Linked DNA regions of Notamacropus eugenii. The protein of the gene in region 1 purifies or fractionates together with the protein of each later gene. This does not show direct contact. Links are inferred from orthologs where the notes say so. Each region holds a gene or a part of one and is shown on either strand. Other genes may lie near its edges.

Region 1 (10,682 bases):
GGCTGTAATCACCCTCAGAAGAATTTCTTGCCTTCAGTCCCAACAGCTGAAGGGACAGGTGACTGATAAAGAATGTTTTCTTTGCTTATATCATTATTTGACATGCAAAACTAATTTTACAAATGGGCCACATTTCACATATATTGCTTTTCTTTCTTTCTCCTTCTGGATACAAGGCCATCTATTTATTCCTTATGGTGTTGTACTGTCACCTCTGAATGGCCAGAAAGTCTTTGGCTGTAGCTACGTGCACATGGCAAAAATTGGTTTGACTTAAAAAGAAAATCAAACTCATCTGATTAGTGGAATCTCCTCTCCATAACAAGACCGACTGTTTATCAGGTAATCATTTAGAAGCCAAGAAAATCTAGATGATTGCTTATTGTCACATAGTCACACATAGGAGCAGCTAGTGGTGCAGTGGATATAGAGGACCAGGTTTGGTCAGAAAGACTGGTGTTCCTGAGTTCAAATCTAGACTTAGATATTTGCTGGCTGTGTGACTCTGGACAAGTCTCTTAACCCTGTTTGCCTCAGTTTCCTCATTTGTAAAATGAGCTCATGAAGAAAATGGCAAACCACTATAGTATCTTTGCCAAGATAACCCCAAAAATGTGATGATGAAGAGTCGGACATGACTGAAAAAAGTGAACAAAAACAAAAGTCATAAATAGGAATGTAAAAACAATGTAGCTGCCATCTGAAAATATGTTGGCTATTATTTTGTTTCAAAATAACAGACATTGGACTTGAGGTATATCTTGAGTTCCTTTTAATTTTATCTTTTATAATTATGAACTTTCACAAAAAATCACTTCTGTATACAATGAGCAGAAAGGGAGTATTGTACATAAAACTAAAATCTCTATTACATACAGATTTTTTTAAAGTATATAACAAATTCTAAAATCATTCTGCTTTTCTGTTTCCCTCCGAACTTCTTTTTGCTCTCTTGGAATTTTTAAATGTTTCACTGATGCTCTTTCCTTTCTTGACAGTTTTACTTTTGGTCATCACTATCATCTCATTTATCACATTAGCAAATCTTTATCAGTTCATTTTTTTTTGTTAATTTCTTCTTTGAGCTTCAGAATTTCCATTTCTCTATTGAGTTGGAGTGTTGATTTGATTTTGATTTGTTGCTTTTCTAGTGTTTTTTTTTTTCTGTTGTTGTTGCATGCACAATTCTGGGATCTCTTCTTTCTCTGTTTTATTTGTGTAAGTCTTAATTGATGTAAATTCCCCCCCCCCAGAAAAATATTGACTGTATCGCAAAGATTTTGGGGATTTTGTTTCATTTCTGTCATTTGTTTCAAGTACCTTAAAAAAAAACCCCTCAACATATTGTTGGATCCATCTTTCTAATCCATTTTGCTATCCTCTCCCATTTTATAGATAAGTTCATCCCATTTACATTCATGGTTATCACTGATAACTGTGAATTCTTTTACATTTTTCCCTCTCTTTGGTCCTAGCCCCCCCCCCCTTTTTTTTTTTACAAAGTGGATGATGAAAGAGAAGGGATATGATTAACATTAGTGATCTGTAGCTGGAATGAACTTTCATTTGACTGTTCTTCCTTTTTCTTGCCCCCAAATACTGCTTCTTTTCCATCCCCTCTTTGATGTTTGAAGTTTGTTTTGCTTGAGACTATTTTTTCCTCTTTTCTTAAAACCTTCTCTCCCATATCCTGATCCCGTCTCTTTCCTTGTTTGGTTTAATATATTGCTATATTAAACTCTGTATACATGTGTGTATTTCTGTAATTCACCTTTGTACAGTTCAAGATAAAAATGAATTTCATGAAATGCCAATTCCTTAACTCCTTTACTTTGTAAACCCTTTTCATGTATCCCATTTATGAGATAAATATATTTCACTTCCTTTTTCCTCTTTTTTTCCTCATAGTATTCCTTTATCCTTTTTCTTTCCTCTTTTAATCAAGAAGCATTTATTAAAGTCAGACTATGTGCCAGGCACTTTGCTAAGCTCAGGTGATAGAAATACAAAGAATGAAATAATCCCTACTTTCTTTTTTTAACGTTAAAAATTTAAGCATTTAATATTCTTCAGTATCGTGGCAAGTTTTGTTTCTTACATACCATACTCTTCCCTAGTAATCTTCCTCTCCCCAAGACAATCATTCCATATAACAAATAGTATTTTAAAAACTAAAATAAAGAAAATTAAAAAGAGGGAAAAAAATCAGTATAACTGATTGTAACATATACAATATGCAAAACCTGTGGACCTCCCACCTCCAGGAAGGAGCGCATTAGGCATGTTCTCTCATATCTCTAAAAACCCATACTTTTGAGGAGGAACAAAGCCACATCATTCCCTTTGTCTTATTTAATTCCTTCTGTGGCCTTGAAGATGCCATTTGTCTCTTCTCCTCTATTAAAATGTAAGTACTTCATCAATTAATTGTCTAATTGCTCAAATGGATTTGCACTCTAGATTTCTTCTGTTGTGTTGGCATTTCATAGTTTCTTTTCAGCTTAAATGATTTCTTTCTTCCTACTTGCATTATTTTTACTTTGACCAAAAAGTTTGTATTTTGGCTATGGCTTTCCTGGGGATTTTTATTTTGGGTTTTCTTTTAGCAGGTGATCTGTGTATTCTTTCTATTTTCATTTGCTGATCTCCCCTTCCCCCCGAAATCTGAGCAGTCTTTATGCCTTCTTAAAATGGGCCTTCCAGTGCCCATTCCCCTCCTTCCCTCATTTTTTGGGCATAGTTTTCGGATAGTCTGGTGATTCTAAATCTGTCTTCAACTCATTGTCCAGGTCAGTTGTTTTGCAGAGTATATATCTTACATTTTCTTCTCTTAAAAAAAAAACAAACCAAAACCCCACAAACATTTTCATTTTATTTCAATTATTTTTGTTGTCTCACTAAGGTCTATGTGATCCCTACTGATTTTCAAAGATTCTACCATCTGGGTAAGGTTTACCACCTAAGCTATTTATTTATTTTTTTCTCCAGAGGTTTTATTTCATTTTTTCCTTCTTGTTTCATTTCCTCTAGGTACTCTTGTACTGACCAAGCCATTTCCCTCTAGTCTGCTTATGCTTGTATTGGAAATACGCTCTTGTTCCGAGTTTTCCTATTGGGTATCTCGATCCATAGGTTCTTTATATTATGGGTTGTGCTGTATTTATTCCTATCTCCAGTCTCAGTTCCTGATTGAGACTGAACCTGGATCAGGTTCCTTTCCCTCCAGAACTTTTAGATACAAGGATGACATCCTAACCTTGATTTTCAGGTGTCCAGTCGCTGGCTTTTATCTTCCCTTCATGTTTGGGTTCTAAGCGTTTGCAACCTTCAGAATTCCTGGTCAGTGCCTGGTCTGGCTGGTCTGTTCACCTGAGCCCATGCTGGTTTTCCTGGAGGTCCCTCTCTTCCAGTGCTGTGGCTTTTTACTGCCTTTTTGTGTAGTCCCAGGTTGCATGAAGCTCATTAATGTTTCTCGTTGGATTTCTTGGTCCTTTTCAAAAACCTCTGGTTCCCCTTTTTGATCATCATTAAATTATGTAATGGAGAGCTAGGCTCCCTGGAGTGTCCTTTCACGTCACAATATTAACTAGAATTTATATAGACTGTTTTCTCATAGTCATCAAGACAATATTCTTCCATAAACTAGATTTTTTACCTTACTAGTGAATACTTAATCTCACTTCTGTTTCTCAATTTTCTGACCTATAAATTAGGTGATGGGCAAATACCTACCTCTACCCAGCTTTCCAGGATGTGCAGATAATAAAATGTGATAATAAATGTCAAAGTTCTTTGGTAGTAAAACCAGCCAACCATATAAATGTATGATCTTATAGTAATGAGATGGTTGAAACTGATTGTTACAGCAATGCTGTAGTAGTTCAACAATCAGTATGATAAGAGCTTATAAAAATTATTACTTAACTATGGGAAAACTGAAGAGTTTTTTACTTGGTACTACTTATGGTTTAAGGCTTTAATTCATCATCAAGTGGTGATCTGACCATGTGATTCCCCTACTAAATAAACTTCAGGAGTTATTTACACCCTCCAGAATGAAATAGAAACTTATCTATAAACTTTTAAAATATCAAATATTTTAAAATATAAACTTTTTGGCTTTTAAAGCTCTTCACAACCTGTAACTAATGTTATTCTTTTTCCCATACTGTATGATCTATTTTAGTTCAAACTGCCTTTCTCTATGTTCCCCACACATGGTACTCCATTTCTGAGTCTGTACTTTTGTGCTGGTTGCTCCCCACACCCTGGGAAGCTACCTCCTCATTTCTACCATAGGATCTGTCACTTCTTTCTATCACAACAAAGCATCACCTTCCACATGAATCTCCCCAAGAGCCTAAGAAATACCCCTCTTTACCTGACCAACTTGTATTTATTCAGCATGGGGTATTTCCTTCTATACGTGTATGTCTTCCTGGATGGAAAGCAAACTTCTTAGCAGAGTGATCATTCCCATTTTTGTATTTGTATTTCCCATCAGCCCAGAAGTTTGACACTTAACTTGCATTAAATAAATGCTTGTTGATTGGTGGATTGGTTGAGTGTGCTGCTATGCCACTGGATTTGGAATCAGAACACCTGTGTACAGAATCTGCACTCTTTTATTTGTTGTCTATGTGACCTCGGGCTCTCTCTCTCTCTCTCTCTCTCTCTCTCTCTCTCTCTCTCTCTCTCTCTCTCTCTCATTTTTCTTCCTCTGTAAAATAACGGGGTTGCTGACTTCTGGCATTTCTTCAAGTTCTGGATCTATGCTCCTAAACTCGTATCATCAGATTATTTTGTCAAATCAAAAAATGAAATAAAACAACAGTTTTGGAAAATTGATGGTAGAAGATAACATGAATTAATATGTCGTGATCAGATATATCCCAAAAATACTTAGAATAAGAGGTACTGAAGTAGTGGTTCTAAACACCTTCACACCCTCTAAACCACTCCTTGAAATGAATGCTCTTTTCTCTTACCTACTAAAATCTCACCCATCCTTCCAAGTCTTATTCAAATCTCATTTCTGAGAAATCCCTGTTGATGTCTCCCTCCTCCCAACTCTTATAAAATTTTTCTCTACTTAATGGAACTTACCACATATAAATTTATAGCTTGATAGGACTTCAGAGATGATTTAGTCCAATTCCTTTAGCTGCAGTAGCAGCAGCTAGAGTTCTAATCTGATCTGTCCTTTACAGACTGTCAGATTGTGATCAATACCATTGAAGCTGTCTGGACTTGTTTCCTTTTTTGTAAATGGAAGATAAGGTTGCCTGTAATTCCTACCTAGACACCTGAAAGTAAGATTGTGAGGATCAAATAAGCTAAAGCATTTTGTAAGACCTTCAAGGGCTATAAAAATACGAACTATCCACAAGCACCTGCTATGGGTCAGTCACTGCTCGAAGTCGGAAACACAAAGAATGAAAGCTAGCAGCTTAATACATAATTCACGATTATTTCCAGATGAGAAAACTGCTGGACAGAGAGGCAGAGACTTGCCTCAGGTTATACAGCAGGGAATTCTCTTATTCCCAACCATCAGGTAAGCTCTTCAAAGCAAACTGCCACAAAGGACAGCAGCCTCAGATCCAGGAAGACCTAAGGTTCAGCCTCCGACACGCGAAATACAGGATTTTAATACGGAGGTTTAGATTTACTTCTGAAGCATCTCTCACAGTAAAATTCCCTAGTCTAGTAAACAGGGCGTTTTCTTCAGCGTGGACCCCCTTTCCATTTGGGGGGTTTTCTTGGCGGAGATACGGGAAGGGTTTGGCGTTTTCTTCCCCAGCTCGTTTCACAGATGGAGAAACTGAGGCACAGAGGGTGAGGTGACCTGGCCAGGGTCACTCGGCTCCCCGGTGGCGGAGGCCGGATCCGATCTCGGGAGTGCAGGCCCCACCTGGCTGCCCCCGGGCATCGGAGGGCGGATGGGTGACCCCTGAGGAAGGCACGGGCGGAGGCAGAGACGAGGAGAGGTCCTCAGTCAGTCAAGCGGCATTTCTGGGGCACCTACTAGGTGGCCGGCACCTCGCCACGGGCAGAGAGCGGCCCCGCCCCCCCACCAGCCCAAGCTCGGAGCCGAGCTGCGGGGGCCCTCGGGCCTCAGTTTCCTCAGCTGTAGGATGACGGGGGCGGGGCCCTTCGCAGCCGCCGGCTCAAACCTCGGGTCCTCCGCGGAGCCCGAGACGCCCCGGGCCACCTTCCCTCCTCTCTGCCGCCTGCGCCCCGCCCCCGCCGCGCCACGTGACGCGGAGGCGGGGCGTCACTTCCGGCGGAGGGGCGCTCGCGGCTGCGCGTGCGCGGAGCTCCGCTCGGAGCAGTTAGTCCCGGCGCAGCGGCCGCCGACGGCACATCCCCGGCGGGCGGCCAGGCAGGCGGGCGGGCGCGCAGCCCGGGCCCGCCGACACCCCCGGCTGCAGCGCCTCAGCCCCGCGGCTCTCGCCCGGCTCCCTCCTTCCCCACCTCCCCGCTGTCCTCGGAGCTTAGGCCCCCCCGGAGCCCGCTCGCCGCGCGGGGCAGCGGGGGGCCCTCGAGCCGCGGGCCTCGGTGTCCCCGCGCGCTCGCGCGGGATGTGAGGCGGCCGGTGCCCGAGGACTGCGCCTCCCGGGGCCGCGGGGGCCTCTCCCGCGACACCATGAAGAAGTTCTCCAGGATGCCCAAGTCGGAGGGCAGCGGCGGCGGGGCGGGCGGAGGGGGCGGCCCAGGCTGCTCGGGCGGCGGCGGGGCCGGAGCCGGCTCCGGAGCCTCCTCCGTGGGAGTCCGCGTGTTTGCCGTGGGCCGCTACCAGGTCACCCTGGAGGAGCAGCTAGCCGAAGGTACCCGGGGCGCGAGGGCCAGGGCGGGCCGGGGCGCGGCGTCGGGGCGCTCCCTGCGACCGGGCTGGGTGCTGCCGCTCAAGTCTTACCGCACGCATTAAGAGCCTACTGTGTGCCTTGCCCCGGGTTAAGACGGTCCCTTGCCCTCCCGGAGCTCACGGTCAGCCTTAGGACGCGGGCTTCCTTCCCACCCGCCCAGCCCAGGCACCCAGCCCGGGGAGTACCTAGAGAGGTCAAAGCACCGGGTAACGGGGCGAGAAACATGCAGACGACTATGTGCCTGCACCTTATATACGGGATGAGGGTGAAAGAAGGTCGGAAGAGGGAAAGGGGCAGGGCAGGTGGGCTTTGAACCCAGGTCCTCCGACTCCGCCACCCCCCAGGCAGCCCCTAGCCACGCTGATTGCAACCAAACCGTGCAAAGGCGTGCTCTAGCAGCTAGTCTGCGTCCCGGGGTCGCGCTGGAACTTGGTCCAGTCCATCTCCTGCAGAAATGGAGGAGGGATGTCATCCGCTGACCCCAGACATTCAGCGATAGCGCCAAAGAACCTCTTGGCACAAAAGTTTTCTTCCCCCTGAAAAATTGCACGAAGCACGTGCCTTGAGTGCGGTTTTCAAGTGAGTCTTTCGTGGGACGCACCATTATGGTCACGCTTGTAAAGCTGGCTTCTTAGTAGCTCTTAAAGGATGTTATGGAAAAGCGGGTTAGAGTTTTCCTTAACTGAATAAGCGTTTTGCCCAGTATTCTCATTATTGTAAATGACTGTGAAAGCGATGTGCAGAGTAGATTTTAAAGATCAGTTTAGACTTTCCACACGTTGGCCACGACACCCATTTCATTCATTCAAGAGATTGTAGATCCCCGGCTTTACGGTTTTGTAATTGACTAGACCTCTGTAACTACCGAAAACTTTCTGTTGTGTTGCTAATTCCTGTTTTCCCCGGCCCCTGCAGGTTGGTTTGTTGTTTGGTATTGTGCTAAATGTTGTTTTAAATCAATGGAGTATTCAAATTCGAGCTGCTAGGTGGCGTAGTGGATTGAGAGCCTTGCCTGGAGCCCTTTAGACTGAACTTCAGTTGTTCAAATCTGGCCTTAGGCACTTCCTAGCCCTCTGACCTGGAGAAAGTCACTTAACCCTGTTTGCTTCAGTTTCCTCCTCGGTAAAATGAGCTGGAGAAGGAAATGGCTAACTACTCCGATGCCTTTGTCAAGGAAACCCAAAAATGGGGTCATGAAGAATCAGACAGGACTGAACAACAGTATTAAAATTGAGAGTTTGAGATTCTGAAGAACTAAATATATTTATTTGTGATAGCAAATACTTCTTTTAGAACCAAAATGAAAAACAATTATTGAGCAGAGTAGGTATGATGTATTTCATTTCCATAAATGTTTTAGAAAAGTATGTATTTTGAAAATAATAATTCTAAGATGCATCATTTCTTAGTATGTTTTCAAATACCTTGAACAATGAGCAGATTAATAGTGTAGGAGAAACTTCACGAATTTGAATATTTAAAATCAAAGTGAGATAAAAGTGGAATGGTTTTGTGAATGATTAAAATTATAAGTTGTCTAGTTGAATAGAGAGATAACAACTAAAAGAAATATATTTGGTGGAGGAGCAGGAGGTCTTGGCCTCAAAACCAAAAAAATTCCAGTTTCCCGCTTTTCCCCAAAAAGTTTTTGATGAGCTAGCCAAATTCATTCTTTTTTAAGTTTACCAAACTCTGTTTAATTTTAGGTATTGCTATGAACATCTTTTTTCTTTAAAGTGCTGCCTTAAATAATTGAAGTTATGTCTAGCTGAGATGTTTTCTCAGATTGTTAAAGTTCTAATGTTAAATTAGTCTGAAAGTTTGTAGATTTTAGTAGTCATGAGTCATTTCAGGGGCCTTTTTTCTATTTAGTTTCAGAGAGTAAATTAAAATGTAAACGTAGAATTAGAATAGTACAACCATTAAGGAATATTTTTCAGCCACAATAAATTTTGCTGGTAGAGTGCCATATGTAATCTTTTATAATACAATAACATTTTTGTCAGGATATTCATAACTAGGAGTAGAAATTATATAGAAAGCATGAAGAAACCTTCCAGGGCCTCAAAAGGATGGGTATTGTGGAAAGAAATCACTGAATGCCAAGAAAGTGACACAAATTATGCTCCCCAGCCAAAAAAAAAAAATCACTCATAAGATATGTATCTGGTAGTCTTGGGGTAGAAATTGGATTCTGGTTGGAGGGGAAGCCAGTGTCAGGCAGAAAGGTTGAAGACTGCAGGGTCTGTGGGGGAAGGGCACCTGCTGGCCTCTACTCTGGTCAGTACCTGAGGCTCCTGGAATTAGATCTTAAAGACTCTTCTCCAAAGATGTCTTCCTAGGAGAGACCCCTTTGGCCATTCCCTTTCCTAGTTTCCTTCATTTCTCAAAGGGTGACAAAAATGATTAAGTCACTTTAACCTTTAGGATTAGCCCTAATAGACCTTTCTAGACTTTAGAGCTGAAAGAGCCTTTCAAGGCTCTGTAGTCTGGGAATTAACTTTTTATATGCCATGAATCCCTTTGTCAACCTGCAAACCTTTAGCATAAAGCTTTTAATTGTACAAAATACATAGGATTATAAAAGAAACGGATTATTTTGAAGTATGGTTATCAAATTATTTAAGAAATAAGTTCATGGGTCCCAGGTTAAGAACCTCTCATTTGGTACAGTGCCTTCATTTTACACATGAAGAAATGAGAGACCATGGGAGGTCAAATGAATTGCCCAAAATTGCACAAGTAAGTTAAGTAGCAGGGCTGGGATCAGAGAATACCTCAAAGAGTCCTCTGATAGCATATGCCAAGTACATTGTGGCTAAACTGACATGTGGAATAGTAGAATCTCAAGAGTGGAAATGACTCTTAGAGAGATCCTGACCAGCTCTTAACTGAACCAGAATGTCACCTACAACATTCTGGACGAAATGATCTTTCAGCCGCTTCTGGAAGGTGAAAAATTCACTAGATCCCTGAACAGGCCATTCCACTTTTTGGGCAGCTCTAAGTTGTTAAATTTTTCCTTGCCTGAGTCCCATTTCAACTTCTTTTCTCTCCCAGTGACGAGCTGCACAGGGATCTTTACCGAGTAGTCGTTTAAATTTCTGTTGAAGGAAGCAAAACCAAGTCTAATCTCTCTTCTACATAGTCACCCCTTTAGGGACTTTAAGACAACAGTTATGTCCCTCTGAAGTATTTTCTTATCTAGGCTAAACTTCCTCAGTTCCTTCCATCACCTGTGCTGTGGGAAGGTTTCCAGTCTCTTTGTTATGCAGTTCATCGTCCTTTGAACTAGTTGTGCTCGTTTCTTAAAATGTGGTGCCTCGAACCAAGCAGTCCTCTGAATCTCTGAATGTGGTTCAGTTAGGACAGATTACATCAGGCTATATAGCCTAACTCATTGTGAACTCATTGCTGTTAATTTGATGTAAGATTGCATTAGCATTTTTGGTAACCGTATCAAGTCTTGACTAATTGGTTCTAAGTCCACAATGTTTCCCCCACTTCCCATTTTTCACAAAAACCACTGTCTCCTCTTCTGTACCACATATATCTATATCTATATCTGTATGTGCACACGCATACTTTTTGAGGGAGGCTGAGAACACAGTGGCACTGATAGGGCTCTGGTAACAGAGGACCTGGGTTCCTATCTTGACTGTCCCTTACTCCTATCTCTTTGACCTTGTGCATAAATTATGTAGCTTCTCTGGGCCTCTGAGGGGGAAAGGGTACAGGAAGAAGTTTGGTGAACCGAAAACAAACTTCGCTGACTTGAGAAGCTGGAAGTTGAGCACTGAAGGTTACTTTTGT
Region 2 (10,623 bases), on another chromosome or scaffold:
AGGTTAAGTGAAGTGCCAAAGATCATACATCTATTTAACAGCAGAATTAGAACTAGATCTTAGCCCAGCATTCTCTCTCCTCCTCTACACAATATAGGTATAGGCCCCTCCATGCCACAGTGCTCAATAATAACTGCCAACAAGCCATAAGATGGACATTAATATATTATTAACTGAAAGTTTGGACAAAAAATATGAAAAGCTAGAAAGTAAGGTTTAGGTAGATAGCAGCTTTTCCAATGTGCTTTTGACTTGGAATATAGTGTTCCTCCAAATCTGAAATTCCCTCTGCCTTTCCTCCAATGAACAAAGTTCATTTAAATTATATATCATGCTCTCCCATGTGCTATGAATTATCTCAACTTTTTAGTAAGCTCCCTCCAAGTCATTCAGCTTGCTATTTAGTATTACAGAAGTACTGCTTCAGGGAGTTTCCACACTGTTGCCAACCCTGACTGCTTTTGTTATTTATTTATTTTTACACTTCACTCAGGGCAATAGAAAATAGGTCGACTATTTCTAAACACTGCCATAGTTCAATTGAGCAAGTCCAAGACACCAGGGATACAAAAACAAAGAGTTCCTACCAGCATTTAATACTTTCTACCACAATGTTCTTGTGGATAGTCTCTCTTCCCCAGATTATTGTGATCTCTCCTGACTTTCTTCCCATCTGTCTGACCCTTTCCTCTTAGTCTCCTTTACTAAGGTAATTCCATCCACATCTCCTATGTGTGGGCATGCCCCAGAACTCTATCCTGACCTCTCTTCTTTTTCTACACTCTCTAGTTTGGTAATTTCAACAGCTGCCATTGGTTTATGACTCTATTTAGAAAGATAACTGCAAAATGTACATATCTAGACCATCTTTTTTCTGAGCAGTGGTTTTGAAACACCTGCTGGACACTTCCATTAGGATGTCTCAAGGTATCTCAAAGACAACATTTCTAAAACTGAGTTCAACTCCACTTTACCCCCCCACCCCCAATGCCTTCTCCTATCTTTCTATTTCGGTTGAGGGCTTCTTACTATTCTTTCCACCACTCTTTTTCCAATCAGTTACCAAGTACTGTCAATCCAACCCGTGCAAAACATCTCTCCATACTGTCTCTCCATTCATGTAGCCAGCCACTACCTAGTCTTTTCTCCTGGACAAATGCAACAGCCTCCTAACTGGTCACCTGCATGAGTTTCTCCTTTCTCCAGTCCATAGTCCTTCACAAAGCTGACAAATTTATCTTCTTAAGGCACAGATCTGACCGCATCACTCATTTGCTCAAGGAGCATTGTTAGTTTTTCAGTTGTGTCTGACTTCATGACCCCATTTGGAGTTTTCTTGGCAAAGGTACTGGAGTGGTTTGCCATTTCATTCTCCAGCTCATTTTACGGATGAGGAAAATGAAGCAAGGGAGGCAAACAGTTACATTACTAGTCCAGGGTCAATGAAGCTAATTAAGTGTATTAGGTCACATTTGAACTATGGAAGAGAGTCTTGATTCTAGGTCCATTCTATCTGCTTTGTCACCTGTGCCACCTAGCTGTTCACAAGAGGCCTTAGTAATTCTCTACTATTTCTAGGATAAAAGATAAGCTTCTCAGTTTGGCATTTAAGGCCCTTCAAAATCTGGCTTGAAAACAAGCCATCAGGATGGATTTCACATTATTCTCCATGCACTCTATGTTCTGGCCAAACTAGGACAATTTCATAACTTAGCATTCCATCTCCCACCTCCAGACTTTTGCACAGGCTGAATCGCTCCATGTTACAAACATTTCCACTCTGACTCTTGGAATCCCTAGCGCCCTTCAAATCTCAATTCGATGATATTCAATGAATTCATTTTTTTTGTATTTCCACAGTCTAACACACAGTAGGGCAATCGAATTAGATATGTTTCATAATAGTGAAATTTTAGAATAATATGTGTAGATCTAACAAATTTTAAGAAAAAGGAGTAATTAATTCATTGTACCTATCAACATATCCTAAATCTGAGAACCCAGATTGTCCCCGAGTCCCCTCAGACTAGAAATTTATCATCAGTTTTCCTTTCCAATATAGTCTAAAACGAGAATATTCTTAACGTGAGGGATGAGTTTTTTTCGAGATTTTGATAATTATTTCAATATAATTGGATTCCTTTGTAATTTTATGTACTTTTAACTGTACTTTGATATAATTCATTTCCTTTGCAATTCTATGAACTTTATTTTATGCATCTAAAATTAAAATCACTCTTTTAAGAAAGGGTCCAAAGGCCTTAATGATTTAAAAAAAAAGTTTTTTTATGTTAAGAATTCCTACCCTAGTTTTAGTTCCAAAATAATACAAGAAATTCCCTAAAATAACATGCTAATTTCTATAAAAAGAAGCATACCTTTAATGAACTGCTCAGACACGATCACGGTTCAGTATTATACTTTTAACAAAACAGTAAGGCAACTTCATCTACTAAGAGAAGCCTGCAATTTCTAGCGGTCATCCAAATCTGATACATAGGACACTAAACTTTTTGCTTCAAGGTTAAATGAAGCAATTTAACATATACAAGATAAACAGATAGTACTCATTCCAGAGAGATATAGCTTACAGAAGATATGAGTTGTTATACCTCCAGAGATGCTACAATTTCCTATGTTTCTGTATATTTTCATAGATTAAAAGAATTTTGAAGATGGGAATGTCTAATGTACTTAAATTCCCATTTTACAACTTAAGAAATCAAAACTCAAAGAGATTAAATGACGAAGTGATGGAACTGAAAGCCACAGTTTCACATTCCTAGGCCAGTACATTTGCTCCTTTACTATGGAAGTGTATGCATTGATCTAAGTCTTGGTGATTCAAATAAGAGGCTTAAATCACTATGTTAAAAGTGAAAGGACCTATTAAAGATATCCTGTTTAGGCAAGATCTTTCTTGCTGCTTCTTAAATAGATATTATATTAAACATTAAAACACATTACAAACAGAACACTTCTTTTTCTTAAAGGCTAGGAGATAAAAAGAACAGCTTTTAAAATCAGTGTCTATTTTGCAACTATTTTTAGGATGAGTCAAATGTCCACAGTCTAGAGAGGAGAAAAAACATTTTAAAATCCGAGGGGTTCAAATGTTACCCTACTTTATAGGGTTCATTCAAGAGCAAAATCCCACTAATAATTAAAAGTTTTTCATTTCACATTTGTATGCAAAATATAAACTGATTTAGTTTTCTTTCACTTCTCCAAGGGCCTTTTACTAGGAAAAGAAAGGGATGGGAGCGGGGCAAGAGTAGAATTTTAAGTTTCTACCTGTTCGGAGAACTTTAATTCTCTGTTCTCCCAGCTACCCAACATTTTGTATCCAAAATTATAACTATACAAGTCTTTCTATTGAAATTCTTTCACGGGCAGAGCAGAGTATACAGAAAGTTATAAATCAATTTGACTCCAGTATTTGAGCACACAGTAGGTACCAGGCACTCACTGGGCTGGACGTAGGTCCACGTAGGTCCACGCCAAAAATCAAGGCGTCCCTGTCTGCGGCAAGCTAAATAGGGGCAAAATATGTACACAGATAATACCCAAGTGGATACTATAACTTGAAAACTTCAAAGTTTTATAAGACTGTTCTGCTGCTCCTCAACTATTCCTATGAAACTAGCCTTTACCTCTTTCTTTTGCTCACTTAAAAGTCTGACACCACCCACAGGCACCTGCTGCCCCCTTCCCCGGCTGGGAGCTAGAAACATTCAATCGGCCGATGCCCAGCCCTTCCGTCGATGCGGGGTCGTTTTCCTCCGGCCTGCGGCAGGCAGGCAGGTAGCGGAGCCGGCGCTCCAGAAGGGCAGGGGCCTGCCCGGACACCCACCCGGGCCTGGCCGACGCCAAGCCAGGAGGATCGCTTGGGGGAAGGGAGAGGGCGCACTTACCTGTAAGACCACCTCGTTGGGGAGTTGCGCGGCCCGGAACAGCTCCACCACCCTCCCGTTGGACGCGACCTTCTTGGTGCTCTCGATGTCGCAGTAGGAGAAGAGGTCGGAGTAGTATTTCTGCTCCGCATCGCTCAGCGTTAATCCCTCCATCTTCTTCCCCGCCCCACCCCCTCCCTCGCTCCTCGCCGCCGCCCCGCCCCGCGACCCCTGGGCGGCGGGGCCTCGGGCCCGGCTTGCCTCCGAGCCCCTCGAACTCGGTCGCGGGGAGACGGAGCGTGGGCCGTGCGCCAGGCAGCGCCCCTAGCCCGCCGCCCTAGCCCGGCTCGCAGGCACGCACGCACAGCGGGTCCGCTCCGGCCCGAGCCCCGGTCTTCCCCTCCCCTCTCCCCGCCGCCGGCGGCCGGGACACAAGCAACAGGGCTGGAGAAGAGCTGGAGAAGCGCAGGAGGCTCCGCGTGCCGCCGCCGGCGCCCGCACCTTCCGAAGGAGAGGCTCCCGCTCGCCCCGATCCGGAGCCGGCCCGGAGGCGCAAGGCCCAGGCTCGGGCTCGGGCTCCGGCACCCACCGCGGCGCCGCCAGGCGAAGGAGACCTCTCCTAGCCTACGCCTTCGCCGCGGGTTCGAGCCGCCCCCTCTACCACCCTCCCCCCTGCTCCCCACTCGACTTCCCGCCTAGCTTCCTCTTCCGCCCACCCTTTCGGGGTCAACCCCCGCGAAGAGCGGCTGCGCCCCGGGGAAAGTTGTGGGGCTTTTAAGCTAAAGTTTCAGGGGCGCCTGGCTGAGCGCGGCTGCCGCTCCGCCTCCCTCCGCCGCCATTTACTGCGCTCCGGCCCCACCACGGACGTGCCCGCACTAACACTGACAGCGGCCGCAGCGGCGGCGGCAGCGCCAGACCCGGATGTGAGGCCGAAGGCGAGCGAGCGCGAGGGGGTGGGGGCGGGGGGGAGAGGGAGAGGGAGAGAGAGAGAGAGACAGAGGAGAGAAAGAGAGAAACCCCCAGCAGAGGCGCGTGCCTCTCCCGAGAGAGGAAGGCGGAAACAGCGCCCTCTGCTGGTGGGCGCCCCCGAGGCGAGAGAAGCCCAGCCCGGCGGCGTCCCGCCCCCTAGGCGCAGCCCAGCCCTAGGAAATGTCCAAAAACATTTTTTTCCCCTGTCGGGGGTCCCCCAGGCCTGGAACGCTCTCCCTCCTCCGCGCCCACCACTGACCCCCTTGGTTTCCTTGAAGTCCCAGCTAAAGTCCCACCGCCTACAGGAAGGCTTCCTTCACTTCTCTTAATTCCAGGGCCTTCCCTGTTCGTTATTTCCTGCAGCATGCTTTGTGTATGTTTGTTTGCACGTGGTTTTCCCCATTCCGAGGTAAGTTCCGAAAGCAGGGATTCTCTTTTGCCTCATTTTATCCCCAAAGTACTCAGCGCAGATAAATAGTAAAATGGCTAATGTGTAATGAATTAAACTGATGGCAGGGGTGAGGGCATCGGTATCATTATTATTATTATTATTAATCATTATTGTTGTTACATTGCCCAAGGGGTGACTCTTTATTACTAGTTCTACAATAACTATGATTTATTTTTTTTTAATAACTAAGCTTGATATCGATATCGATTGGTGTAACACTTTTAGTTTTTCAAAACATCCACATTAACGGCTACACAGGTGCCTTTTTACTCTCCCAATCTCCCTGGGAAGTAGGTAAGTTCTTTTCTTCTTATCCTTTCCTTTTGCACCATGAGGAGAACTGAACACCCAGGGATCCCATTTCCATCATTCCAGACCTCCAACTTGGGACAAGTCAGGTCACTTCTCTGGACCTCAGTTTCCTCATTTGTCTGTGGGGCCTGGGTGGTTTATTGTCACTCAACCCTACTCAAACTGTGTTACAATATCCCGATATCTTAAAGAGATGAAGCAATTCTCTATCTTTCAATTTTAGTAATTGGTTTTAGACTAAATGTGATAGCTTTGGAACTGGAATGACAGTACCCAGAAATCCTATTTGGATTGGTTAAAGTAACCTGATCGCACCCTAGGAGTTCTCTATGAAGTTATCAAGCTAGTTCAGATGAGAAGATTAGAACAAGTGTGACATTCCAGTAAAACCCTTGAGAAGGGACCTGGGGAGAGGAAGGAAGGAGAAGCCTCAGCTTTCACCTCCATCTAGATCCCCATTTTGGCCAAGGGAGGACCTTGCAAGCTTCCCAGGATCCATACTATTTTGTACTTCTCATTCATATCTGAACACTATCTTGTGGGATATTAGTAACAAGGTGTAATTTAGGGAGGGCATTTTTACTGTTCTACCAGGAGCTTGGCAAAGAAGTGACAGGATGCTTAAGGAGAACTTCTTAAGTACCCTGGAATGGAAGAAAAGTTCTTCAAGTAACTAGGAGTTATGAGTTACCTCTTTGCCACGTGTACTTTCTGCATCTGAGTCCATTTTCCCTTGAACTCTGTATGTACTGCTGGGAGAGTATGTCATTGAATGACTTTCTACCAACTATGATTAACTGAACTAAGTAAATTACCCTTTCTGAAAGCTAATTGATGATTATTGACTAAATGATACTCATTGATAATCATGCTGGGAAGTATGAACACCAGAATGGGGGATTGAGCTGAGAGTGCTAAAAAGACATTCCCTCCCCCAACACCTTCAGGTAACACATAGATCCCTGAAGGCATCATGATAACCACTTAAGGGATCTGACTCCTCAGTGTAAATGTGAGTTGGGATAGACAGCATGGGCTACTGTAAAATGAAGGAGGTGGGACTAAATAGATGGTCTCAAAGGTCTCTTTCAGGGCTAGATCTGTCTATAATCTCATGATCCTACTCATCAATAGAGTTAGGTCTTCCCTAACATTTAAGTTCATTGTCGAGGCTTAGGAGTCTAGTGAAATGGAAAGAAGTTGGATTTGAAATCAAAAGACCTGGGTTCAAATCCTAGTTCGGTTATTCTGTGTCACAATTGCTCTGTGTTTCAGCATTCTTATCTCAAAAATAAGGAGATTAGATGAGATGAAATTTGAATTCCTTTCCAATTCTAAATCTGTGACCCTAAAGCATACAACAGAGTAACCTGCCATCAGAGGGACCATGAGTTGACTGGAGGCTACATCAAATCTCTCTATCCCATCTGGAGGGAAAGTTTCTGCATACCTTGCCAGGCAAATAGCTGATTTTTTTTTAGCATAAATTGACCCCCATTCCCATATTTAGATTCCATAATAACATTTGCCCTATTGCAGGTTAGGCTGGAAGGATGAAATATTTTTATTCATTATGATCTTATGCTATATATACATATTATTCCCAAGTATTTAAGAATTCAAGAATTAATAAATATTCCCAAGATAATTACTGTTTTGTGGTGTCTCTTGTATGATTCCATATTGAATTCACATCCCAATTTCAAGTGTAGGCTTACACTTGATACTCCTCTCTCAACCCTCTGATGTGTTCATTACTGCCATCCCTTTGATGTCAGATATCACTGAAGATAAACTCAAATTCCTCCTCCCAAAGCTTGTTCCTGGAGCCTCACAAATATTTGAAGATTTCAACATCAACAGTAACTGTTTATCTGAGAAGCAATAGTTTGCTGAGTAGAGGAAAGGTGAAACTAATTTGGTACGTATAAATATTTTAGATTATCTAACACAAAGTGTGCCATTTCTTCTGTCCTGTGTCTTAATCTGAAAACAATCTCTTTTTCTGGAAACCTGCAGAATTTAAGGTACGTGCTATTTAATCTTACATTTCTGTTTATATAGCAGTCTGTAATTTGTAAAACACTTTTCCCTCACTGACCCTGTAAGACTGGTAAGGATTATTATTATCATTTATTTCTGGTGAGAAAATAAGGCTGAACAGAATTCTTATTTGTCCACAGTCAAACCACTAGTCCATTGCTCAGTCCAGGATACCATATCATCTTCTTTACATCTCATTTAAAATAGCCAACATTTAGATAATGTTTTAAATTAATCATCACAGGAACTGTGTAATTTAAGTGTTATTATTATCCCCATTTTACAGATGAATGTTGTTGTTCATACTTTGTTTTCAGAGAGGACCAGTGACATCATGGGGTACATAAATTGGATTTAAGTGAGTCAGAGTTGCACAAAATGGTCAGCATTACTCTGTCTTCTAGAGTTATTGAAATAACAGTGGCAAGACAAAAGTCAAGAAGACTGATGATGGCCTGGGATGTAGTGGATCATCTTGGTATCTTTGATGTCTGACCAACCTCTGTGTGCTCCACAGTGCCTGCTTCAGCTTCCTTCATGATTCTTAGAACAAATTGTTGTCATCTACCCATTCCACCAAAAGAAAACTTCATATGCTTGAAGTAGATATCCCCCAACTCACTGAAGAGTTTCTGACTTACTTAGCCTGTCTGACCAGACAGATGTGGCTACTGCATGTGCTATAGCTTCTTAGAGCCACAAGTGAGTGGAAACTGAGACTGAGAGGTTAAAGTGACCCAGAGCCTTCAACTAGTAACCGTGAGGCGGGATTTAAACTCATGTCTTCCTAACTCCCAGGCCAGGACTCAGTCCATTGTGCCATCTACACTTTACATATTAATATTTTAAGTAACATATGAGTTGGAACTTTTCCAAGTCTAAAGGCTTGACCACACCAAAATTTGTAGAGGGAGGAATAGTCTATCAAAAAATCTCTTTGCTCTCTAATCTGACTGACCAGATAGGTGTCAGCAACCTTTGCACTCTCCTATTGATTTAATTCAGATCAACTTCACAACTGTTTATTTTTCAAGTAACTAGTTACAAAGTATTTATTAAGCACCTCCTGTTTGCCAGGCACTGTGCTGAGCACTGAGGACACAGCAAAAATGATCTAGTCCCTACATACAAAGAGTGTACATTCTCATAGGGGAGACAACACATGCATATATAAGTATACACAGAATATATACAAGGTAATTTTGGGAGAGAAGGCACTAGTAGCTGGGGATAAGCACCTACTTCACACAAAGCACTTTGCTAGGTGCTGAGGGAAATGCAGTGTTTAAATAAACCGTAGTCCTTGACTTCATGGAGGTTAATTAATTAGTTAATGAATTAATAGGAGACATTATTGCCATGTTACTGACTTATTAGTAAGCACCTACCTCAAAGGGTTGTGAGGAATAAGACAAGCTAGGTAAAGTTTTTAGCAGCTCTGCAAAAGTTAGCTACTCTTACATATCATAAGTAAATTAGAAGAACATGGAACATATTACCTATCAGATTTATGGATAGAAGAACTTATGAATAAACGAGAGAGCATTTTGAGATGTTAATTGGATGGTTTTGATTACATTAAATTAAAAAGGTTTTGCACAAACAAAACTAGTGCAGCCAAGATTAGAAAGCAGAAAATTAGGGGAAATTTTTATAGACAGTTCCTCAGAAAAAGGTCTCATATCTCAAATATACAAAGAACTTAGTCAAATTTATAGGAATATGAGTCATTGCCTAATTGATAAGTGGTCAAAAGATATGAACAGACACTTTGGGGACGAGGAAAGCAAAACTATATATAGTCATATGAAAATTGCTCTAAATCATTATTGCTTAGAGAAATGTAAATCAAAATAACTGAGATACCATCTCATAACTATCAAATCAGCTAAAATAACAGAAGGAGAAAATGACAAATGTTGGAAATATATGGAAAAATTGGGACACTAATACACTGTTGATGGAACTTTGATATGATTCAACCATTATGCCTAAGGAGTTATAAAACTATGTATACCTTTTGACTCAGCAATACCACTATTAGGTCTGTTTCCCAAGATGAGCATGGAAAAAGGAAAAGAACCTATATGTTCTATAAAATATTTATAGCAGCTATCTTTGTGATAGCAAAGAACTGGAAATTGAGGGGATGCCCATCAGTTGGGGGATGGCTAAATAAATTATGGTATGTGATTGTGATGAAATACTGCTATAATGTAAGAAATGATAAGCAAGCTGATTTTAGAAAAACGTGGAAAGACTTGCATGAAATAATGAGTGAAATGAACAGAAAGAAAACTATTTATAGTAACAGTAGGATTGTACAAAGAGTAACTGTGAGATAGAGCATCTTAAAGAGAAATCCAGGTTTCCAGGCACACCAAAGAAGTGTAAAAGAACCATATTGGGGATAAAGAGGAATTTGTAAATAATGGAATAGGGATTCCAGAGGGTATGATAGGAGAGAGCAAAGGAAATCATAGGGCTGAGCTTGTGGAGATGACGGGAGAGAGGTTTTCACTTTGGCAGACAGAGAGTCTGGATTATAGAGGTTGAGGAAGCAAGAGGTAGAAATGTGTTAGCCATGAGGCTAGGGAAGGCGAAGTATCAAGTATGGGAAAGCTCAACAGTGATGGTAACAGCAGGAAAGATGGTCCCATGGTGAAAAAGGACCTCAACAATTGCCATTTCCTCAGTTGCTATCTCTAGATGTAACCCCCTTAATGACATAGAGCAAGTGACAGATGATGGTATCAGATGATGGGAAGATCTGTGTCTATCTACTTCCATAATAATGACTTTTATTTCCAGTTCTGTCCTTGCTAACCACCCTATAATACAACTGCTTAAATACAGCCACTCAAATTCAGCCTCATAAAGTGTTCTGATATCAAATTACCTAATGTATTATATCCTTTTTTTCTCTTATTAATAGCTGTACATTTAATTTATTTT

The links.
Region 2: the proteins of BMP2K (region 1) and REPS1 purify together in Homo sapiens (affinity purification with mass spectrometry; 3 studies listed by BioGRID and IntAct, counting the BioPlex papers as one, with this or other methods). This does not show direct contact. The link is inferred for Notamacropus eugenii from reciprocal best matches to the Homo sapiens genes BMP2K and REPS1.

The regions. Positions count from the first base shown.
Region 1 is NC_092878.1:147,829,304-147,839,985, reverse strand, and holds the start of BMP2K (BMP-2-inducible protein kinase), read left to right. Parts: upstream 1-6,356; 5' UTR 6,357-6,649; coding exon 6,650-6,830; intron 6,831-6,839; exon of another isoform or gene 6,840-10,682. UniProt on the Homo sapiens protein: May be involved in osteoblast differentiation.
Region 2 is NC_092873.1:225,490,850-225,501,472, forward strand, and holds the start of REPS1 (ralBP1-associated Eps domain-containing protein 1), read right to left. Parts: upstream 4,524-10,623; 5' UTR 4,068-4,523; coding exon 3,915-4,067; intron 1-3,914. UniProt on the Homo sapiens protein: May coordinate the cellular actions of activated EGF receptors and Ral-GTPases.